Linked DNA regions of Mus musculus. The protein of the gene in region 5 interacts with the protein of the main gene of each other region in a pairwise test. Links are inferred from orthologs where the notes say so. Each region holds a gene or a part of one and is shown on either strand. Other genes may lie near its edges.

The links.
Region 1: the proteins of Appl2 (region 5) and Rab22a interact in binary tests that used the Homo sapiens proteins (3 or more experiments, as listed by UniProt). The two-hybrid records come from large-scale screens. The link is inferred for Mus musculus from reciprocal best matches to the Homo sapiens genes APPL2 and RAB22A.
Region 2: the proteins of Appl2 (region 5) and Suv39h2 interact in binary tests that used the Homo sapiens proteins (3 or more experiments, as listed by UniProt). The link is inferred for Mus musculus from reciprocal best matches to the Homo sapiens genes APPL2 and SUV39H2.
Region 3: the proteins of Appl2 (region 5) and Cradd interact in binary tests that used the Homo sapiens proteins (3 or more experiments, as listed by UniProt). The two-hybrid records come from large-scale screens. The link is inferred for Mus musculus from reciprocal best matches to the Homo sapiens genes APPL2 and CRADD.
Region 4: the proteins of Appl2 (region 5) and Rab5c interact in binary tests that used the Homo sapiens proteins (3 or more experiments, as listed by UniProt). The two-hybrid records come from large-scale screens. The link is inferred for Mus musculus from reciprocal best matches to the Homo sapiens genes APPL2 and RAB5C.

The regions. Positions count from the first base shown.
Region 1 is NC_000068.7:173,693,958-173,697,956, forward strand, and holds part of Rab22a (ras-related protein Rab-22A), read left to right. Parts: intron 1-1,152; coding exon 1,153-1,224; intron 1,225-1,301; coding exon 1,302-1,408; intron 1,409-1,932; coding exon 1,933-2,042; intron 2,043-3,999. UniProt on the Homo sapiens protein: Plays a role in endocytosis and intracellular protein transport. Mediates trafficking of TF from early endosomes to recycling endosomes. Required for NGF-mediated endocytosis of NTRK1, and subsequent neurite outgrowth.
Region 2 is NC_000068.7:3,472,187-3,476,844, reverse strand, and holds the start of Suv39h2 (histone-lysine N-methyltransferase SUV39H2), read left to right. Parts: upstream 1-1,858; 5' UTR 1,859-1,898; coding exon 1,899-2,142; intron 2,143-2,633; exon of another isoform or gene 2,634-2,813; coding exon of another isoform or gene 2,814-2,825; intron 2,826-4,197; coding exon 4,198-4,343; intron 4,344-4,658. UniProt on the Homo sapiens protein: Histone methyltransferase that specifically trimethylates 'Lys-9' of histone H3 using monomethylated H3 'Lys-9' as substrate.
Region 3 is NC_000076.6:95,320,859-95,325,645, forward strand, and holds the start of Cradd (death domain-containing protein CRADD), read right to left. Parts: upstream 2,852-4,787; 5' UTR 2,611-2,851; intron 2,032-2,610; 5' UTR 2,026-2,031; coding exon 1,728-2,025; intron 1-1,727. UniProt on the Homo sapiens protein: Adapter protein that associates with PIDD1 and the caspase CASP2 to form the PIDDosome, a complex that activates CASP2 and triggers apoptosis.
Region 4 is NC_000077.6:100,714,138-100,717,993, reverse strand, and holds the end of Rab5c (ras-related protein Rab-5C), read left to right. Parts: intron 1-29; coding exon 30-152; intron 153-1,088; coding exon of another isoform or gene 1,089-1,142; coding exon 1,143-1,236; intron 1,237-1,831; coding exon 1,832-1,947; 3' UTR 1,948-2,991; downstream 2,992-3,856. Other genes in the region: Hspb9 (heat shock protein beta-9), read right to left, coding at 3,545-3,856. UniProt on the Homo sapiens protein: The small GTPases Rab are key regulators of intracellular membrane trafficking, from the formation of transport vesicles to their fusion with membranes.
Region 5 is NC_000076.6:83,607,024-83,611,022, forward strand, and holds part of Appl2 (DCC-interacting protein 13-beta), read right to left. Parts: coding exon 3,955-3,999; intron 2,073-3,954; coding exon 1,914-2,072; intron 1,730-1,913; coding exon 1,677-1,729; intron 1-1,676. UniProt on the Homo sapiens protein: Multifunctional adapter protein that binds to various membrane receptors, nuclear factors and signaling proteins to regulate many processes, such as cell proliferation, immune response, endosomal trafficking and cell metabolism.

The DNA.
Region 1 (3,999 bases), on a different chromosome or scaffold from region 5:
CTTGGCTACATCATGAATTCAAGACCAGCTGGGAATACCAAACTTACTGTAGAAGGGAAGGAGAAAGGAACAGGAGCAGTTTTTAAAAATTGAACAAATTTGCAAGAAACCCCTAGACCTGTGTCTAGACATAGCAGATACATTCTTAGATGAAAAGAACCAAGCACCCCACTGAGTGGGCAGAGGTGGCAAAAGTGCCATGTGACAGACCTCACGTATCTTCCCTCATGGGCGTTGCAGTGCAGATGTCACTACTTTATCAGAAGGGTCTCAGAGACAAGAGACAGAGGGATGCTGTGTGTGTTTTATATGTACACCCAGTGCTCTCTGAGGAGAGTGCCTACTACCCAGTCACCACAAAGGGAGCAGGATGCAGTACATGGATTACTCTTGGGGACCAAGCTTCAAAGTCAGGATGGAAAATGACAGTGTGATCCTTGGGGTGGGGGTGGGGGGACGACACCACACTGGGTCATTTTCCCAAGAGCCAGATTTGAGTGAGGAAAGAGCTTCACATTTTCCATCCCACTCGCGTCCAGGGAAGTAGCCATTGGATACCCTTGCTTATGCCTCTGTATCCTTCTAGTGATGGAGAGTGGCGGCAGAGACTGTGCTTGCATTGTGACATTGTGAGAGAGATGAGACCTATGCATGGAGATGTCAGAAAAGCAACTTGCAAACTCATTCAAGCAGTGAATTTAAATGTGCATTCATGTCTAGGACAATCAATGTCTAGATTACAGTGTGATCTCTTTGACACCCAGTAATGCAGCCACTTCTCGGGAGAACCATTTACGGCATGTTTTTATCTCCTTAGTTTGGGAAGCCAAAGTTTAAAGGACTATTGAACAAATGAATTTGGGAATTACTACATTGAGTTCAATTAAAAAGCTTTTTTAGCTGAAACATTTGTTTATTGCCCCATATTCAATTCCTATGAAGCTGTTTTCTAGACTGTCTTCAGAGACATTCCTGCACTACAGTCTGTCTTTGCCTTTGGTAATTATGGGTTCTTTTGCTGTAAAGCATTATGGCATCTTCTGTGGCTTCAGAGAAAGATTACCTTTTGTGCAGGGATAATGGACTTCAAAGTCTGCTAAAAGGACATCTTTCCCTGACCATCCAGTTTCATTGCTTCTTTTCCCTCTGCAGTTTCGTGCATTGGCACCAATGTACTATCGAGGGTCAGCAGCAGCCATCATCGTTTACGACATCACAAAAGAAGTAAGACTTTATTCTTTTCTTCTTAGCTGCCATCATGTATTGCTCAGGCCTCTAGCTACTCTCCTTTCACACTGCAGGAGACGTTTTCAACTCTGAAGAACTGGGTGAGAGAGCTCCGCCAGCACGGCCCCCCCAGCATTGTCGTTGCCATCGCAGGGAACAAGTGCGATCTTACTGATGTCAGGTGAGTTCTTAGACGAGATTCCCGGGCTGATTATGTGTTCCTTTTCTAATGAGCCACATCCAGGGTAAGAGTCTAGCTTTTATTTTATCTCTGACATTGAAAAATTTCTTGTGTTACATGGTTGGCCCTGAAGTTCCAAGCTAAAATGAAAACTTAAGGCATTTGGAGTTAATTATATTACATGTAGACAGGTGCGTGATTTACTCTAACATTAGTGTTATCACACATGACGTTATCTGAGATCATTGCTTCCCCAGGCTGCTGTGACACAGAGCACCTGAATACAAAAAGTCCATTTTATCGACAATCTCTCTGTATCACATCTGATTCCCAAAGGAAGGGCCTTGGCTTTGTTTTCCCGGGGGACGGGACGGGGGACGGGGGGAGGGGGGGGTGAGGGGTGTTTAATATAGAGGTTATATAAAACCTTATCAGGAAGATCATGTAACTGGAAAGACTGCTTACATGGGGGCTGGGGGGGTCTTAAGGGGCAGAACCTCTGACTCGCAGTTGTTGCCTTCCAGAGAAGTCATGGAGAGAGATGCTAAGGACTACGCAGATTCCATTCATGCCATCTTTGTAGAGACCAGCGCAAAAAATGCAATAAACATAAATGAACTCTTTATAGAAATTAGTAAGTATCTCTGCATCTTGTGGGTTTCCTCTGTTCGGGGCAAACACAAACAGAATTCTCTTTGTGGTTAGAATCTCAGCTTGTTTGGTGTAGTCTCTGAGACTGTCCACGAAAGGAAATTTAAGCAGATGAGAACGGCCAGTGTCTGTCATGTGGGGTTTCTGGGTGTTGTGAGATAATCTTTCCAGAAAGAAAGCCTCTCAGTGCCTAAGCCATTTTGTGCTCTCCTCGTCTACATATGTCTCAGTCACTCACTCATCCAGAACCATCAGAAATGAACAAAGTCAGGTCTGGAGAGATGGCGCAGGGGTTAGGATCATATGCAGCTCTGCCAGAGGACCTGAGTTTGGTCCCAGCACCCACATCATGCTCACAGCCACCTGGAACTCCAGCTCTAGGGGACCTGACCCTTCTGACCTCTGTGCAGCTGTACTTTGGTGCTCATACCTATATGCAGACACACAGAATTAAAAGTACTCACAGTTTCTAAAATAAAAGCACAGAATACCTCAAGAGAAATGAAATGTATGTAGGATCTGTTTGTAAGAAAACCTCCAAAACTAGTCCTCAGCAATGGAAGGGTCAGTCCTCTCCCCTTCTCTTCCCTCAGAGTGTTAACAGGCTGACGGTAGGTGAGAAGAGGCTGCCTCAAGCCTTGGGATTTTCTGTAGATCACATCTGTGTTTATTCATTTCATTCCAATTCATCAAAATGTTTATTGGGAACTGTTCCAGACTCAAGGGATCAGCCTAAAGAAGATAGACACAGCCCTTGCTCTCTGAGAGCGCGTGTTCTGTTGAAGGAGTCAGGCAGTGAACTCCAGATAAATAGGGTCATTTCACATAATAATAAGAGATATGAAGAAAGCAATTGTAGTAGATGTAAGAATGTGTGCAGACGGTCCCAGAAAGCCCCTCTGGGGGAAGAACTGGGAGCTGAGACCTGATGAGGGAAGGCGGTTGGGGAGCGTCTCTGAGGCAGTGGGGTGGGAGCTGAACCTGACAGTACAGGCCTGCAAGAGCGGGATTGTTTGCTTTCACTCAGCATAGCCAGCTCCCGGATAGGGAGTAGTCACGCAAGCATCGTGCCTCTGTACCCATTAACTGCCCTTAGGTCGCCATCCAAAGTAGCTGGAAGCTAGAAGGACTCTTGGCCTTGGTGAGGGTGAGAGTCATGAATGGCAGGAGCCACCAGAACCATACAGGGCCTGCCCAGGGGAGCAGCCCTGTAGCACCCATGCCTGCGATCGCAGCAGGTGGGCCCCTCTGGGGTCTGGAGATCAGAGCTGTTTGATTTTCATTTTGTGTTGCTCTTTTGAGACAGGGTCTCAAGAGTCTTAACTTTGTAGCTCAGGCTTGAACTCAGAGAAGTCCCCTGCCTCAGCCTTCCAACTAATAGAATTTATGAGTGAACATACCTGTGATAGTTTAGATGGCTCAGAGATGTGGATTTGTATTTATGTGTTTCATTGTTTCATTTTGGCCATTAATTTAAACCTTTCTAGAGTCCTTTGCAGATATCAGACAGCCAGTGTGGCCTGCCATTGGCTCACTGAAGCATCTGTTTATTTCAGGGTTAGCCTGGGTCATTCTTGAAAGGCAGTCTAAGTTTTGTCAATAGTCTTCACACTTTTTTGAGTGTCTCCATATAGCGTGTCATCTGTTGCATCCATTCCTGGTTTTGTTGTGGGTTCTTTTTCTAGTTTTGAAAATAAACATGTATTGGACTATATGAGCAACAAATCCTTATACCAAAACCCAGCAAGCAGGATACAGCCCTGTGGTAGTGACTTTGCTGTCATGTTCAGGACCTTGGATTCAGTTGCCTGCACTGCAAAGAGAGAGAGAGAGAGACAGACAGACAGACAGACAGATAGTACATACCATAACTGAGAAGAACTGAACATGGCCAGGCAGGTGGAAACTGGACAGAGCTAGAAGTCATCTTTATTTTTTGC
Region 2 (4,658 bases), on a different chromosome or scaffold from region 5:
TATGTTTTAATATATACTTTCCTCTGTTAGGATATGATACATGTTGTATGAGTTCTGGAAAATTACAGTACATCCATGAGAAAAACCACAGAGATCAAATGACAGGGCATTCCTGGAATCCGGGAGAAAGTGCTTGGTGCCATTCAGCGAGGAGGACATGTTCTGAGAGGTGTGTTTTGTGCAGGTTAGTGTGTAAAGATCACAGAACACTTGCAGAGCTGCTAACCATGTCACCAGGAGACAAAGTTGTTACACAGGGAAGACTGGGGTTCTGTGTTCATGGGTTTCCTGAGAGGCTTCGGGCCTACTCTTCTACACTCTGAGAATAGAGAGTAGACACTGAGGAAGGTTGGAGTGGCTGGCTCTACTCTATGCCCTAGAATTAAGAAAAACAAGGGAGCCAGGCAGTGGTGGCACATACCTTTAATCCCAGCACTCGGAAGGCAGAGGCAGGTGGATTTCTGAGTTCGAGGCCAGCCCTGGTCTACAAAGTGAGTTCCAGGACAGCCAGGGCTACACAGAGAAACCCTGTCTAAAAAACAAACAAAAAAACACAGAGCCTTGGATCTATCAGACAACTGCTATTCCACCAAGCTATCCTCTGCTTCCAGCATCCTTTGCCAATTTTTAAAATAAAACTTAGCAAGACCAAAAATATTTGTAAGACTCTACCCTGACCGTTTTTTGACAAAAGCTTTTAAAGAAGAGCTAGAGAACAAAGCCAGACAGAATGCCTGAGTGGCCTCTGAAGAAGTAACATTTGAGTTAAATCTAGTCACGTGAGAGGGAGCAGCACATGAAGGGGAGTCAGTCAGTTCTTTGATCTAGACCGTGATTTCCAGTTTAAAGTGTTTATTGGGGGAGAAGGGAGCTTTGGCTAGCACCTGTAATTCCAGCTCACCAAAGTGGAAGCAAAAGGGTCAGGACTTGAACATGCTTCTCAGACAAAGCAAGTCTGAGGCTTGTTTCATTTTCTGTTTTAAAGTCTCCTTAGCTGGGTGGGAAGTGGCTGGAAGGGGAGCAATGGAGAGGTCAAGGCAGCTAGGCTGTTTTGGCTGAAGAGAAGACAGGCAGTATGTGCTTGTGAATAGCATTGACATGACTGGCTTACAGAATTGCCGATGGTCTTTTGTGTATAATGGTTCCTCTTACAAGTTTTCAGATTTACAGTGGTAAAACCGAGAACGACCTGACTCTCCCCAAGCATATATGGCTAAAACCTGCCCTCAGCTTAAGTCTGTTAATGTTAGTAAGTCCTTGTCCTAAGTGTACCTTTTACGTTTGCCTTAACTAAGAGGGTTCTTGGCGGGGTTGGTTGGATTCTCACAATTGTCAGGCTTTTCCTTTGAGTCCAGCTGCTACATGGCCACATCAACTCATCAGAATCTCTTTGAGTGGTTTAAACAGACAGCACCTCTCCAGGTGAACCCAACATGCAGTCAAATTTTAAGATCCTGAGTCCTGGTGGTGTGGAGTGAAAGGAAAAGTAGTGGGGCTTCGTTGGGTTGAAGTGCTGAGGAACAAGAGTGGGAAAGGAGCTACCTGCGCACACTAACCCCGCACAGCCTATTTTGCGTTTTGTGGCGGGCACGTCAGGTCTTTGTGAAGCGACTCAGGGGACCGCATGAAGAATCATGGCAAGCGACCTCCGAAGTCAAAGCGAGTAACAAGCCAGCGACGGGCAGGGCCAGTTTCCACGGAAGGCCCCGCCCCTTCCCGCCCCCACCGTGCGGCGCAGGCGCGGTAGCTACCACCGCAGGGGTCGGTCTCCGCTGACGTCAGAACGCCTCGCTCCTCTCAGCCTCCCCGCTCCGGAGTCCCTGGCGGGCCGGGGCGGGGCGTGTGGCCAGCTGAGTTCTTCGGGCTGACCGCGCCAGTTTGAATGAAAGCTCCGCAAGATGGCGGCGGCCAGGGCCAAGGCACGGGGCAGTGAGGCAGGAGCGCGGTGTCACCGGGCTCCAGGTCCGCCCCCGAGGCCCAAGGCCAGGCGAACGGCGAGACGCCGCCGCGCGGAGACCCTGACGGCGCGACGCTCGCGGCCGTCTGCGGGCGAGAGGCGCGCCGGCTCCCAGCGAGCGTGGTCCGGAGCTCCGCGGGCCGCGGTCTTTGGCGACGAGTGTGCACGAGGTGCCTTATTCAAGGGTGAGCAGGAAAGCACACGCGCTGCGGCGGTAGCGGTCGCCACCTCCGAGCCGGGGGTTGGGGGTGGTGGCGGGGCTGAGGTGCGGTGCTGGAGAAAGGGAATCCCCTGGTGCCTGCGTTCGAGCGGGTCTGGCCTCGCCGTGAAGCGCCTGCACACGCAGCCCTGAGCTCCGGGAAACTTTGGGGGGCCCGGCTGGAACTTGCAGGTTATTTCTGTGGATGCTGAAGCCGGGGCACGCAGTGCGCGTGCGTGCGCTCGAGTCGCGCGCCCTTTGAAAGTCTGGGTTGTGCAAAGCCTTCTGGAATGAAAAGGTTGTTCTCCAGCTCTTTCCTCCGCTCCACCCAGATGGTGACACTATTATTCCCGTAGGTAGCTCTTGCCTCCTTGAAGCGTGGTGGGGATGGGATGGTGGAATGGTTTTTATAAACGGGATGTTATAATCTAGACAATGAGGCGTTTTCCTCTCATCATTTTTGGCTGTGGGATTTTGTAAACCAAGTGTTGGCAATTTTTCTTTTTAACATTTCGAGATGCCCCCAAAATGTAGCATTTCTGTTGCGAGGGGCGGTGCATTGTAATTACACGTAACGCTTCGTTATGACGTTTTCATACGAATATATGTACGTTGATCCTCCGATTCAACACCACCCTCCATTATAGTGTTGTGTTTTCAGATTCTCAGCTAGGGGTAAAAATTGAAAAGATAAATAAAACAGCAAACAACTTGGTTACATAAACAAGAGGACTCTCCTTTGCAGATGATTAGCATAAGGAGATTAGCATTAAGACAAAACAGCCTTAAGATTTTTAGAAGCGATTTATGAGACGTTTTTTACAGCTTTCTTGTCTCCAAACCGCCACACCTAAGCAAATAAATGTATTCTGGCAAATTTGAAGGAAAGTCTTTTTGCAGGTGCCAGAAATATGAGTTGTTTGCAGTCACTGGAGTTCGGAAGCTATCCTCACTGGTTTCTGACAATGAAGTCCTTACTGGGAAGGATGAGGAAGGACTGCGGGGAAAATTTGAGCGGTTACGCTGTCCCTTCCTGGAAACTTACCTTAAAAAGGTTTTTGCCCACCACTTCGGAGAACTAAAGACAGCTTGATGAGTTAGAGATACATTTTCTTTGGTCACCTCTGTTCTCAACAAAACACACTTTTTTCCAGTGAATCCCATACACAAAAAGATTGGGACTTTCCCAAAGTTGTGTAGCTAGGTGACCCACCAACGGGTAGAGCAGAGGACTTTTGATCATCTTGTATTTATCCTGATAGTAGGGGTAGTGAAGTTTGTTACATTTTTCTAGACATCAGTTGTGTGATTATATTTTTAAATCCAGGATGTAATACAGTTCATTTCTGGCCTCCGTACGGGTATTGTTTAGTATGTCTGATTTTCAAGTCTGGCTTATGGAATATTTCCACCTTGTATTCTGTTTTGTAACTGCTGGCTTGAAAACTGTAGGAAACAAGTATTACAAAGCTCACTATGCTCTCCACTTAAAGTAGAATTCTCTGGCTTATGCATGATGAAAATACATTTTACCATGCACAAAATAAATGAAGCTAAAATCTCTCGACTTTTTACAAAATGGAAAAAGTAGGATATGGATTTCATATTTAAATTCTTATCATCTGACTAAAAGAAGTGAAGTTACTTTTAAGTTGTGGCCATTTTAGAATATCTTTTAGATATATTTCTAACAAAATGTCTTAGCTGTTTATTAGGAGAACAGTTTTATTCTGTGTAAAAAAATTTACTTCATTTTACCTTCGCATTTATATGTAACCCTAAGAAATTTTAGATGTGAAATATTTTAATTAGCCAAGCAAGAATTAGGCAATGTGGGTAAAAGTGGGATAGATGTCCACTGGAAAGTAAACCAATTTACCAAAACTAGTTCTTTATCCTATAACTTTTTCTTAAACACACATATGTAGCTTCTTGTTATATGTGTTTCTAGACTATAACATTGTCAGTTGAGAGGGTTTTAAGTTTTTGTTTCAGCCTAGTAGCTATTTTATTGGTAAAGAATTCTATTTTCTTATTGTAGCCTGGTGTGTGCCTTGCCTAGTTTCACTTGATACTCTCCAGGAATTATGTAGAAAAGAAAAGCTCACATGTAAATCGATTGGAATCACCAAAAGGAATCTAAACAATTATGAGGTGGAGTACTTGTGTGACTACAAGGTAGCAAAGGTAAGGCAATGTCCAGCCCCTTGGCAGAGACCTGTCCACACTGCAGTGTTTCATGTTTCTCTAACATAAAAAGAGCCTCAATATAAGTGAAGCTCTTCTTGTTTAACGTTGTAAGATATAGAGTTACTCGGTCAACACTGAGGGGATTCTGAACCGTCAAATGCTTTTGCATTAGAATATTTAGGGTGTTTATATCCTGCATCCAACTCTTGACTGTTTGCATATGGATTCCCAGAGCAAATTTGTTAGGCCTGATTGGTTTGTCCTGCAATTCGTGTTGTTCCTGAATCCTATTTCCTATCACTGGCAGGAACC
Region 3 (4,787 bases), about 12 Mb from region 5:
ATGTCTATGACAATTCATGACAACGTTTATATAACCCAAAATAATCACCTGGTTAAACTCAACATTTTGGGAGTGAAAAGCATTCGGGTCTTTTGTCATTTCCAACTGCGTGCGGCCAGGAGAGCCTTCGATGTGAATACCAGAAAGGCACAACTCATTGATGTTCCCTCCGCAACTCCATGTTATATATTCTGCTTGTAATAATGTGGTAGAAATGTCAGGGATACTTGGTCCTGGTTTTGTTCAGACACATGGAATATGTAATTTTCTAAGGACAACCCAAGCTGAAAATTCTAGAGGTCCTCAAAGGCCGGCATTCTCATGGTTTCAAAAAGACATGTAATTTGGACAAGCTCCTAGGAATAAAGATATTTTTAGATTTTCCACTGAGTGTTCACCAGGTCTTTCTAAATTAACTGGCTATCCCATTCTGGTCAAATATTCAGATATATGTCATTAATTTTAAAAAAATAATTATCATATGTGCTCTCAGAACCATTCAAAATATAAGACCCATAGTTTTACATTTAAATTATAAAAGTAATTTACTGGTAGTATTTGATTTTTTTTGTTGTTGTTGTTGTTACCAATTACAGTTATTTGAAAATTGGGAGTGTAGAAAGGGATTCAATATGTAGCTCTGGCTATCCCAGAACTTGCTATGTAGACCAGGCTGGGCTCACAAAGAACCACCTGCCTCTGCCTCCATAAAGGCAGGACACCAATGTCGCTGCTGACACACACTCACACACACACACACACACACCAGCTCTGTTACAGTCATTTTTAAAAACCATTAACAATAAATTCTGGAGACCACTGACTTGGTCCATATCTATACTGAAAACCAGAAAACGTTGAATTCTTAACTCTGGAAATCTACTGATTTGGTTTGGCTTGGTTAACTTTCCATTTTATTATTTAAAAAAAAAAATTAATCTTTCTAGGTCAGTCCCTCATCTTTGTGAAAGAGCAGTATATCTGGGAGGAGTTGAAGAAAACAGTGATTTATACCGCAGCACCTTCCTCTCACAAGCACCAAGCTGTTTCTTTTCAGATCACTGCTTCCAGGGATTTTTTTTCCTGGAAAAAAATCAAAATAAGATCCGCCCCCCCCTCGCACCCCCAAATTACTGCCCTTGCAAAATAAAATTCCCCAGGTGTCTGCACAGAGCTGAATTTTAAAGGGCCACTTTACACCAACAGCCTTTAAAAACAAACTAAAGGCAGGCTTCAAAATAATCCCCTTGGCCTTGGAGGCTGGCTGTGGGGACAGGTGCAGGACATGCCTTCCTAGAGGCTGTCTCCCATGATCTGACCTCCTCCAGCTGGCAGCTTGGCACCCCACAAATCAGTTATCAGTAGGCCAAAGCCTGCATTCCCATCTGCGCTTTCCAAACGGTTCCTGTTGCCAAAGGGCTCAGATTGACCTGGCTCTCCGATGAGAACAAGCCTCCCATGTGACTTGCCAAGTTCCCCTGGAAGCATGTCTAAATTGTACTCTCAGTTCCCTCCTTAACCCCTCAGCCTCAGGGTTCATGTTCCCTTCCTTCCTCGAGTTTCCTAACACCGCCTCCTCGTCTTGACCCTCCGACGCCATGCCCTCTGCATCCAAACCGTTGCCCATGCTCGTGGCCCTGGTCCCTCCTAAAAGACCAAATTCCAATCCACTGGGCATGGTTGCAACACTTCCAGAGCTGTTTTGAGGGGATCTCTTTGGGGCCTACCTGTAGGCAGCTCGGCTGTGACTTCCTCTCTCGCCTTCTCCAGCTTCTCTCTTACCCAGGGAAATTCCTGGAGGGAATCGAGGAAGGTGTCAAAAGCTTTGGGGCCCCTGGAAGGCAGGATGTCCAGCAACAGCATTGTCTTCCGGAGGCCTGTGGTTTGAGCTTTGATTTCTTGAATGTGGTTTTCTGTCAAAATTCCTTCCTGGTAAAGGTACTGAAGAACCAGTCCTTCCACCAGTACCTCGGCACCCAGCTCCAGACGCAGGGAGCGGAGTACCTGCTTGTCTCTGGCTTCCATTTCTTCCTGGAAAGAGCCAAAATGAGCACCTAGGTTTCAGGAATGCTGATGGACACCCCCCCCCCCAAAGTCAGTGTATTGCTGCAAACTCATTAATGAGCACCTCAAAAATCAGTCAGGTCTTTATATCTTAAGAGGCTGCTGAGCCACGGTGTTTCCTAAGCGGCTGTTAAGCCAAACCACGGATATTTCAAACACTTCCCGGCATAATGAACGACACTCATTATGGATGTTTCTACCTCTGCTTCTCACGATAATGGGGCCCTATTTCAATTCCTTGTGCAGTAAGAGAGCCAACAGAAAACAGATCTGATCCCTTACTTAAAATGCAATCCCTAAGGATTACAGATTTATTAATCTATTTATATTATTATATAAAATTAAATGCTAGAAAATAGTGGATTTCAATATTGCTTTGCCAGAGTTAGTCCAGCACCCACGCTTTAGAAACTGCTAAAAAGCACCAGGGACATTTATTTATAGACCCTGACCAGCAATAGAAGACAGTCCGGAGGAAAGAAGTTTATAGAGCATTCAAAGAAAGGACAAGCACCCTCAAGAAAATGAGTGTTTGTGTGCCTTTACCGATAAGCCTCACAAGAATTCGGAATGTGGGTCGCAGTAGGGCCGTGAGCACGCATGCATGGGACACTGAATGAGCTCAGGTCGCTAGTGTGCTGCGGGGTGGCTTGCGGTGGCAATGAAGGCAAGGGGAGCAAGGGTGGCGGGCGGGGCTTCTGCCACCCTCAGCCCACACAAGCGGGACGTCGGATCCCAGCCTTGCTCGCGATCTTCCGCCAAATCGGGAGGTGGCAGGTGAGGAGGGCGTGGGTGACCGTTTTGTTTTGTTTTGTTTTGGCAGCGTGTTTCCATTTGGAACTTGTAAAAAGTTCCCTGTCTCGGCAGCTGAAAGCCGTGGTTGTGGCACAGTTAGAGCTACCGACGATTTTCACGGTAAATGAAGCCGCAGACTGTCCTCTCGGAGGAAACCGACCCCCGGCACCGCCACCCGAACCCCGGTCCAGCCCCCGGGAGAGCCGCGCAGGGGCGATGTCGCCACGGCGCGGGGACAGCGAGAGAAGATGGAGTCATCTTACTTACGTCTGCGACCACGTACCGTTTAAAAAAAAAAAAAAAAAGAATAACTAAAACTACAACCGGAATCCAGACTGCTAGGGAACCTGTACCATAAAGACCATCTTTGTTGAGGGCAAAAGTCCTAGACAGGAAGTATTGCGACCATCTTTGTTAAAGGCAAGAGCAGGAAGTGCTGTAGCCATCTTTGTTGAGGGCGCAAGACGTCAGGTTGAAGTTTGTTCCGCCATGTTTGCTGTGGGAAAAGAGGCACACTCTCCTACATTAAAAAAGAGAGAGAGTGGTTTAAAAACTCTAAGGCAGTAGTTCTCAATCTTCCTAATGCTTTGACCTTGTAATATGGTGTCCCCCAACCATAAAATTATTTTTGTTGCTACTTCATAACTAATTTTGCTATGTTATAAATCCTAGTGTAAACATCTGTGTTTTCTGATAAGTCTTACACTGCCACTGTGAAAGGGTTGTTACAGAGCCACAGGTTGAGAACAGGTGATCTACGTTATCTAAGTGAAAGAGTAAATGAATTGTTGAATCTTAACAGAAAAAACTCCATGAGAGCCTGACTATAATAAGCTAGTCAAAAGTTAATCTAGCAGTTAAGCCCTGAGTTCAACTCCCAGTAATATACACCTACATGCACAAATTACTTCATAAAATAAAACAATTAATAAACTCATTAATTAGTTGGGTGACATGTAACAAAAAGGATGTGTGTGCTAAAAAAATTTTTTGACAATAGAAAAAGAATATTTCTACCAGTACCTCCAGTTGAAAATAAAATATCTATAAACATATCAGTAGACACTTATAAATCTCCTTCCTCAACACCTTTCAACTGTATGTGCAAACTTACAATGCTAATATACTCCAGGGTTTCTATGCAGGCACTAGCTGTCTTACTGACAGTGTTTTTATGTAAGTGGTAGGAATTCTTTTTAGCATTTCAAATCATTGCAGTCTAGAGAAGCAGGAAAGTCAATTGTATCATCCAAAATCTCACAGCCAATACAGAGTAAAACCTAAATTCTAACCAAGTCCCTCTGATCTCCTGCTCTTTCCAGTACACCACACAACCATGTATGATTGACTCTATTCTTCTAATGGCAGTCAAAATATTGCTAGTGAATCACCCAACTGTCACCTCCTTGCACAAGCTTGAGCTACACAGAGGGTCCTTCATTATCTTTAGCTCTAGAATCATTGGTCTTTAAAAAAAGGAAAACAATAAAAGGTGAATAACTGTCAACAACAGCTTCGGTGATCATCCAAATGAGTATAGAGATAAATCTCTTGTGCACTGTATAAAAACATTGACCTGTCAATAAAAAGCTGATTGGCCAATGAGCTTAGGCATGAAGTTAAAAGGTGGGACATCCAGCAGAGAGAGAGAGAGAGAGAGAGAGAGAGAGAGAATATGTTGGGACAGAGACAGGTGAGAGAATGACCCCAGAATGCTGATGGAGACCAAAGCAAAAACCTGAGGACCAGGTAACCAGTCATATGGCAGGATTTAGAATAGAATAATGGGGTAATTAATTTATGAGCTAATGTTTCTTGTGAGTCAAGGAACAGGCAAAGTTAATGAACTAGGTATTTGTAAATAGGTTTGAATCTCAGAATTTTTATTTCAGTAGCAGGGGCCAGGAGAAAAAACAAAAACATACTGA
Region 4 (3,856 bases), on a different chromosome or scaffold from region 5:
CCTTTGACATTGCCATCCTGTCTCCTCAGGATACATTTGCACGGGCTAAGAATTGGGTGAAGGAGTTACAGAGGCAGGCCAGCCCCAACATCGTCATTGCACTAGCGGGGAACAAAGCAGACCTGGCCAGCAAGAGAGCTGTGGAGTTTCAGGTAAAGTGACAGAACTTGGGGAAGGGTGCATTGGCTCTGTAAGGGAGGCCTCTCCAGGCTGCCTGGGCCCTGTAAGGTGACAGGCAGTGGCAGCTCTCATCTGCTGTCCTCTCAGGACTCAAGCACAGGCCATAAAGGAATTGTCTTTGTGTTGTGGGAGTGGGTGGATAGGTAATATTTCTGCACGTTTGCTTTGTAAGCCAAATGGACTGAAGCAGTACTTTTTTAGGCAATGCATGCATGTAAACTTCAAATACTCCAACAAGGCCTAGAGAATGAGTTTAGTGTCTTTAATCCTAGAAACTTAGCCTCTCTTATCCAGAATTCCCAGGTTTTGGTTTTCCCAAAAATGTACATATCTTTTACTTTACATCATGGATGGGAATATGCTGTGTACCACATGTACTATATGTTACAGTGTCCTATGTTTTTTGTAGGGGTGGGGAGCAGGAAGTATCTCATGTAGTATGTAGTAGCCCAGGCTGCTGGCCTTGAACTCCTGAACCTCTTGTTTTTCCTGGGGTTACAATCATGAGCCTCCACACCCCTCAGTTCATCTTTTTCCAGTCCTAACTCGATGGCCTCCTGGATTGCTTATAACCGCTGAGGACTAGAGACAGTGCTGCAGGTGGCATCCACATCTGCTCATGCTTTTGTCCAGATGTGCAGGCATAGTGCAGGAGATCTCTCTCCAGGAGGATCTTTCGCCTGGTGATTTTGAAGAACAAGTAGACAGAGAGGACCTAGGGAAGCTATTAAGAATCTGCCAATATTTGTGAACTGCGAGGTGTGGCGTGTGAGTGGAGAGCAGGTGATGCTGGTGTTTTGGGGAAACCCAGAACAGGGGAACCCTAAGCCTGAAACCCCTGCATTTGCCCAGTCAGTCTCTTGATTTATAAGGGCAGAGACCAAGGAAGATCTTATCCTGGGTCTTAGCCCTGCCATCTGCCATGTTCCCCTCCCACTCTCTTCCTCACATGCCTGAGTCAGGAAGCACAAGCCTATGCAGATGACAACAGCTTGCTCTTCATGGAGACGTCTGCCAAGACTGCAATGAACGTGAATGAAATTTTCATGGCAATAGGTAAGTTGTCTCTCCCTGTCCTTCCCCTGAGCAGAACAGGACCCTGTGTGCTAGTCTCTAGTGGGTCTGTGGGATATCTTCCCCAGCAGAATTTTTACCATTTAAACTTATAAAATTGAGCTGGAGAGATGGCTCAGTAGTTAAGAGCACCAGCTGCTCTTCCAGAGATCATGAGTTCAATTCCCAGCTCACAATCATTCGATCCGATTCTGGTGTGTCAGTGACAGTGTGCTCATATACCTAAAATTAAAAATTTTTTAAATAAAATTAACTGGTAAAATCGTCTGACTCCCAGATGCAAAACTTTCTAATGCCTGGACCAGTCTAAGTGTTATTCTCCCTGCCCATGTCAGAGCCTTCCATTGCCATGTCTTCCCCCATAGGACTTTAGCTCATTTGCCTCAGGAATCCTTCTGTCTATGAGTTCAAATCCTGGCAATGCCGGTTGTCACTCGGGTTTTGGGCAAGTTCTCTGCTTCAGTTTCTAGGGACACAGTATACCTGGCACACAAGCCCTCCAGTATTCTGGCTGTCACTGAGTAGGGGAGAGTGTTAGGGTGACCTCAAAACCTACTTCCCCTTCTCTCCCTAACAGCTAAGAAGCTTCCCAAGAATGAGCCCCAGAATGCGGCTGGGGCTCCGGGCCGAACCAGAGGTGTGGATCTGCAGGAGAGCAACCCAGCCAGCCGGAGCCAGTGCTGCAGCAACTGAGCCCCCTTACCTGCCACTGCCCCCACTCCTCCACCACAATGACCCGACTGGAATCTACTCTAACCAATCGCACTTAACAACTCGGGCCACCACTGGGGGCAGGGGAAGGGTCCATCAAGAATTCTCCGCATAACTTTGATCCTAGGCCGGAGGGAGTTATTCCACCTGCACCTTTCTGTACAAATACTAATTCAATTTTAAGTCTTAAGTCACTTTTTTAATATATATGATCTTCTGCTCTTCCCAGGTCCCTTTCTCCCGCTCCCCCACTTGCCCTTTGCTGGTAGTAGCCATGCTCCTGTGCTCCTCATCCGTGGGGACAGGGCTTGGAGCAGTCACCCTTTCTTCCCTTCTTGCTGGAGAGCGGACTCAGCAAGAGCACCCACATCTTAACTTGTTGGGAGCGTCTTAGGCTGGGGCAGTGGGCAGGCCCTGAGCTGGGGAAGGGACAGGCTGCTCTTCCCTCAGCTGGCTGTCAATCAGGCTGCAGCCTCCTCCCCAACTGACTCCCAGCTGGGAGAGAAACCGCAGCATTACTTAAGCATCATTATTGACAGCCGGACACCCATGGCCCAGGATCCCTCCACCCTTGGTCACTCTGACCTCTGGCTCTGAGCCCTGTTCTGACCAAATCACGATGATGAGTATTTGGGGGTGGGTGGGTAAGGGGGGGGAGTGGGAGGGATGGAACCAACTTTTTCTGTATTTTGTATTGTATGTTTTCTTCACCATGTAACCAATCAGTATCTTGTCAATATAGTCAGCCGATCGATCGACCTCACGCTTGTCTTCCTCGTCCTTCTCTGGCAGCTGATCAGGCCATACGTAGCCTCTCTGTTTTTCCTGAAGTTAATTTAAATGAATCATCCAATCTCATTAAATGGCTCTACTCCCTGTGTGTGAGAGGATGCTGGTGGTCATGGTAACCAAAAGAAAGAAGCCCTGCTGTTGGTAGTTCTGATGGTGGAAGAGGATAGGACTGACCTGGGGCTGACATCTGTCTCCCCCCAGCTTACATTAAAGGATATGCAACCTGTATTTGAAGATTGTTGGTGTCTGAAGTGACCTGTGAGGGTTTTTTGATAGGACCTAATTAGGACTCAGACCTTTTTTTTTTTTTTAAATATCTCCTCTCCCTGACGAGGAACACCGAGTACTGGTCGTAAGGCCGGTGCTACAGCCCATCACTACCACTGTCCTTCGTGACACCTCCATGCCAGGTTCAACACTGTCCATCCTGGTTCAGACCATCAGCTGATTCTGAATGGCAACAGCTAGGCTGTCCCAGCTCTCTGCTGCTCCCTGCTGGAGCTATTGCTATTGGCTAAATCCATACACACCCCTAGTTTATCTCAGGGCCAGAAACTTGATTATTGATGTACTTACTACCACCTTGAGTTCCCTCCCCTGGTCACCCTACTCCCTACAGCTCCAACCCTTCACCCTCAGGAAAAAAGCAGGAGGACTTAAGGCTGCTGCACACCTCGGTTTAATACATTAGGGTAGGTTGTAGTGCCTAGGGCCTCCCCTCCTGAGTCTCAGGGCCGAGTCTGTTTGGGCTTCAACTCTTCTCCCGCAGGAAGAACGCTAAGAGACTCTAAGGATTCTTCACACTTTCGTTTTGTAAGGAGCTCTTAGGCCCTCCCCTCCTGGGTTTCTGGGACTGGCCTGTTTGAGCTTCAGGGGGAGGTAGGCACTTGTTTTGTCCCCTGAGCCACAGATGGCCAGAGGGGGTCAGGCTGCAGGTCATGGCTGCAGGATCTAAGGTCGGCGGGAGCTGCATTTGTCGGTGAACACTCTGCTCCATGCGGTAGCGGCCCCTGCTCGGGTCATTCGACTCGTGTTGCCGCTGGCCGGTCACCGTCAGATTCTGGCCGTCTATCCGCACCACCAAGTCCTCCGGAGCGAA
Region 5 (3,999 bases):
AGAGCCCAGGTCTTTTGCAAGAACCACCAGTCCACTTAACCACTGAGCCATCTCCATACCTACTCACTCTCCCCTTGCTTACCCCCAATAGCTGGTACTACAGGCATTTGCCATAGGCCAGGGTCAGTGGGGGCATAGTCTAACAGTACTGAGCAACAACTGAAAGATGATTAGAAGACCCCATCCTTGTTTACAAAACTAACGTGCTAAAAACATGCTACACGTGGTCTTTTTTAAATTTTTTTCTTTCAAGACCGGTTTCTCTGTGTGGCCCTGGCTAGCCTGGACTTGGCTTTGAACTCAGAGATCTGCCTGCCTCTGCCTCCTGAGTGTTGGGATTAAAGGTGAGTGCCACCATGCCCAGGTCTGGAGTTAGTTTTACATAAATAGTTTTATTTGAGGCAAGATCCTGCCACATAGACTAGGTTGGTCTTGAACACAGTGACTCCTGTCTCAGTCTTTACAGTTCTGGGATTATCTTGCAAGTGCTTCAAATTACTGAAATTGTCCTGGCTTGGATTTCAAAGTCTGCTTCATAGAATTAGGTCTTGAATTCAGTGACCCTTCTGTCTCAGCCTCCCAAATGATGGGATTATAGATGTTTTCTATGACTTCAGCTAGGCATGGCCCATCACACCCAGCTGAATCTAAAATACTTGTGTGTGGACTGTGCCAAGTCATTGAGGTACATGGTGCTGTGCAGTCATTTCTAAAGCAGAGTCTGTCAGTAAAACAAAACCTAGTTTAGCCAAATCCCTTTTAAAGGGTTATTTTTGTTTATGTGTATAAGGTTTTTCTCACATGTGTATGTGTTTGTATATGTATATGCATGTGCTATGTGTGCCTGTGGAAGCCAAACCGTGTCAGATCTGAACTGGAGCTAAGGCAGTTATAAGCAGCTATACAGGTACTGGTAAGCAAACCCAGCTTGCGGTCGGTCCCCTGCAAGAACACTAGATGCTCTTAACTGCTGAGTCTTTTCTCTAGCAATGTTCAAGTAGATTTAAAGTAAATTTTTAAGTTTATGTGCACCTTGCGTGCCTGGTACATGTAAAGGCTGGAAAAGGGCGTGGGGCCCTCTGGTGCTGGTTGTGAGCTGCCATGTGGGCAATGGGAACCGAAAGCAACCCTGGGCCCTCTCTATGAGCAGCACACGAGCCCTGAGAAACCACCCCTGAGAAGGACTCTTGGCTCCTGTAAATTCTCAAGTATTATTAAACTCGAGGGGAGTCATTAGAAAGACTTGCATCCTAGAAACAATGTGAGATTCCCTTCAAGAAGCCATATTAGAGATCTTGCAAATGCTTCAAATTACTGAAATTGTCCTGGCTTGGATCTCAACATCTGCTTCATTGAATTCAGTGACCCTTCTGTCTCTGCCTCCTTAATGATGGGATTATAGATGTCTTCTGTCACTTCAGCTACCATGATTCCACTTTAAATATGATCATTTTTTCCTCTGAAAAACCTGCTCTATAGAAATCTAATAACAAATTAGATTTGATAGTGCCTCTGGGCAGGAGCTTCAAAAAGGGCATGGTATGGCTAAAGCTAAAATGGCCTTCCTTTTTTGTCCAAGTTTTCACAGAACATGCTGGAGCTTTAGGACAGGACTTCTCACGTTCGGGACCCTCTTCATTTGTACAGGCCAAAGAGCCGTGAGCCTGGGCACTTACCTTCTGCTTCAGGGAATGAGCCATCCTCCGTCTCACCGAAAGGGTTGGTGCGCCTAGGGGACAGCCAGAGGTCAGCCAGAGGTCAGCCAGAGGTCAGCAGTCCTGACAGCTGCAGCTGGCAAGATGCTTAGCACCTGAGCTCCTGGCATCCCAGGGTACCCCAGTAGCAGTCTGGTGGTGGTAAAGACATAGACAAACTGCCGCTCATTTTCCCAAGCCTGCCACCTCAGGTATTACCTGCCACCCCTGTTCTGGTCAAGGAATTCTGTTGCCGGAAGTACAATATCAAACTGAATGGGTGTCCCAGGTGCAATCAGTTCCTCTGTTTCAGGAATGCTGGCTGTTGCTTTGGGAACAATATTGTCATCTTCTATGTCTGAATTTTTTATGTTTTGACTAAAATATAAAAAGGGAGAAAATCTTGATCAAATTTTGCACTTGTTTAATGCTGCTGTGACTTTTACATATTGAAATACAAAGGAGCCTCCAACTGCTCTCAGGCCATTCTACAAATAAACCTTCCACAACTGCACGTCCTTGCTTAGAGCCATTCAGTTCTTCATGCTATAGTCAGTCCCTCTGCTGCTCACCATTCTGAGCAGTGCGTTAGGACTTACATAATAATTTCTCCCTTAGAAATGGGTTTTTAGGACTGAGGCTACAGCCAGCTCACACTGACACATAGTAGGTACTGAAGACATGTTAGCTGAAAAAACAAAACATCTGGACCTGACACTTCACTGCAACCCAACTGTAATTTTCTGAAAATCCCCTTTCCACTCACTAGACCACCGCTTGAGAGAGACAGCAAACATGCCACGTGTTCCTGTTCCTGTGAGTTCCATCCCAATGCTTAGCCAATTCTCCTTGCACCGGCTCCGTTATACCATTGTGCCAGCCATTCTTCTGTCCCTTCTCTGAATTCTCTGATACTTTTCAATAAGTCACAGTACTTGGTCCCCTGTGCCTCCTGAGCACTGCACTGTGTCTCATCTGCAGCTAGAGACAGCGCCTGTAAACGTAGTGTGCTTGCACAGTGAGGAGCCTGTCCTACACTGTCCTGCTGCTTCTCTTGAGGACAGAATGCTGTCATTTAACTTTACCCTTTAAAAATCCTTTTTAAGGTACAGTGCAAACTTTGAAGGGCACTGAATGTCACAACATTTCCATTCCTTACACAGTCTGGGCCACAAGAGCCCTCCAGAATCTTTTCACTTGGTATTTTTACATCAGCATTTTCTGGTTTCTCAAACATGTCCTAACTGAATACTTTATAGGGACTGCAATGGCTACTTGACATACTTCTATGCAGTGTTGCCCCTTTCTCAATCCTTTGGCCTGTACACTGCCTGTAATCCCTGAGCAGGAATCGCCAAGGCTTTCTGCAATGACTCAAATCTATCTGGTGGCCTTACCTATCGTTCTTTCTCACAGACCAATGCCAGGTGCCTAAACCCGGAGAAGCTACACAATCAGAGTTTCCTAAGGACTCCTGCCTTCTGGGCCATTAAGTATTTGTAGGACATCTGATGGAGTTCTTTCTACCATGCCACTAAAAGACACAGTTAGAGTCTTGATTTTAATATGCCCCTTGATGCCATTAATGCAACAGAAAGGCAAACCTCTCCTACCTAATTAACCACTTGAAAACTCCCACTGAGATAAGATGTAGGAGCTCTAGAATACATCCTTAGGCAGTATTCAGAGGAAAAGCTGTGTGCATGGAAATGCTCAGCTAATGGAGATGGGAAAACCAGGTGTGGGAGAGGATACCTGTAACTCCAGCACTTGGGAGGCTGAGGCAAGGAGGGCTACAGGGATGAGGCCGGCCAGGTGATCTGATGTGACTCTTCCCATAACCCCAAATATTCAATGCTAATACATGACTGTAAGACGTAGTATAAGAATTAGAGAAATGTAGTCAAGTAAGTGGAAACCTGGATGCACTTAATGAACCTATGCATATGCAGAGAAGGCTGAGCCCAGACCACGGACACACAGAAGGTGACACAGCTACGGTACCATGATGCTAACACAGCTGCAGGAGGGTCTGTCATGTGTGGCTGTGGCCCTGGACAATCAGGTCTGAATACTGATCCCACCTCTCTCTGTGCTGTGAGTGTGGGCACATTACTGACTTTTCCGGCTGTAACTATTGCGTCTGTTGCACAGGGTGCAGTGGAATCTGTGGAGGGTTGTGAGAACTCGGAAGAACTCACTTCAAATCTCTAATACAGCGTGGCTCCGCACAGGCTAATTTCTCCTCGTCCTTGCTTACCTGGAGCAGGAGCTTTCTTGTTTCTTCCCAAAGCTTGTAATTGGC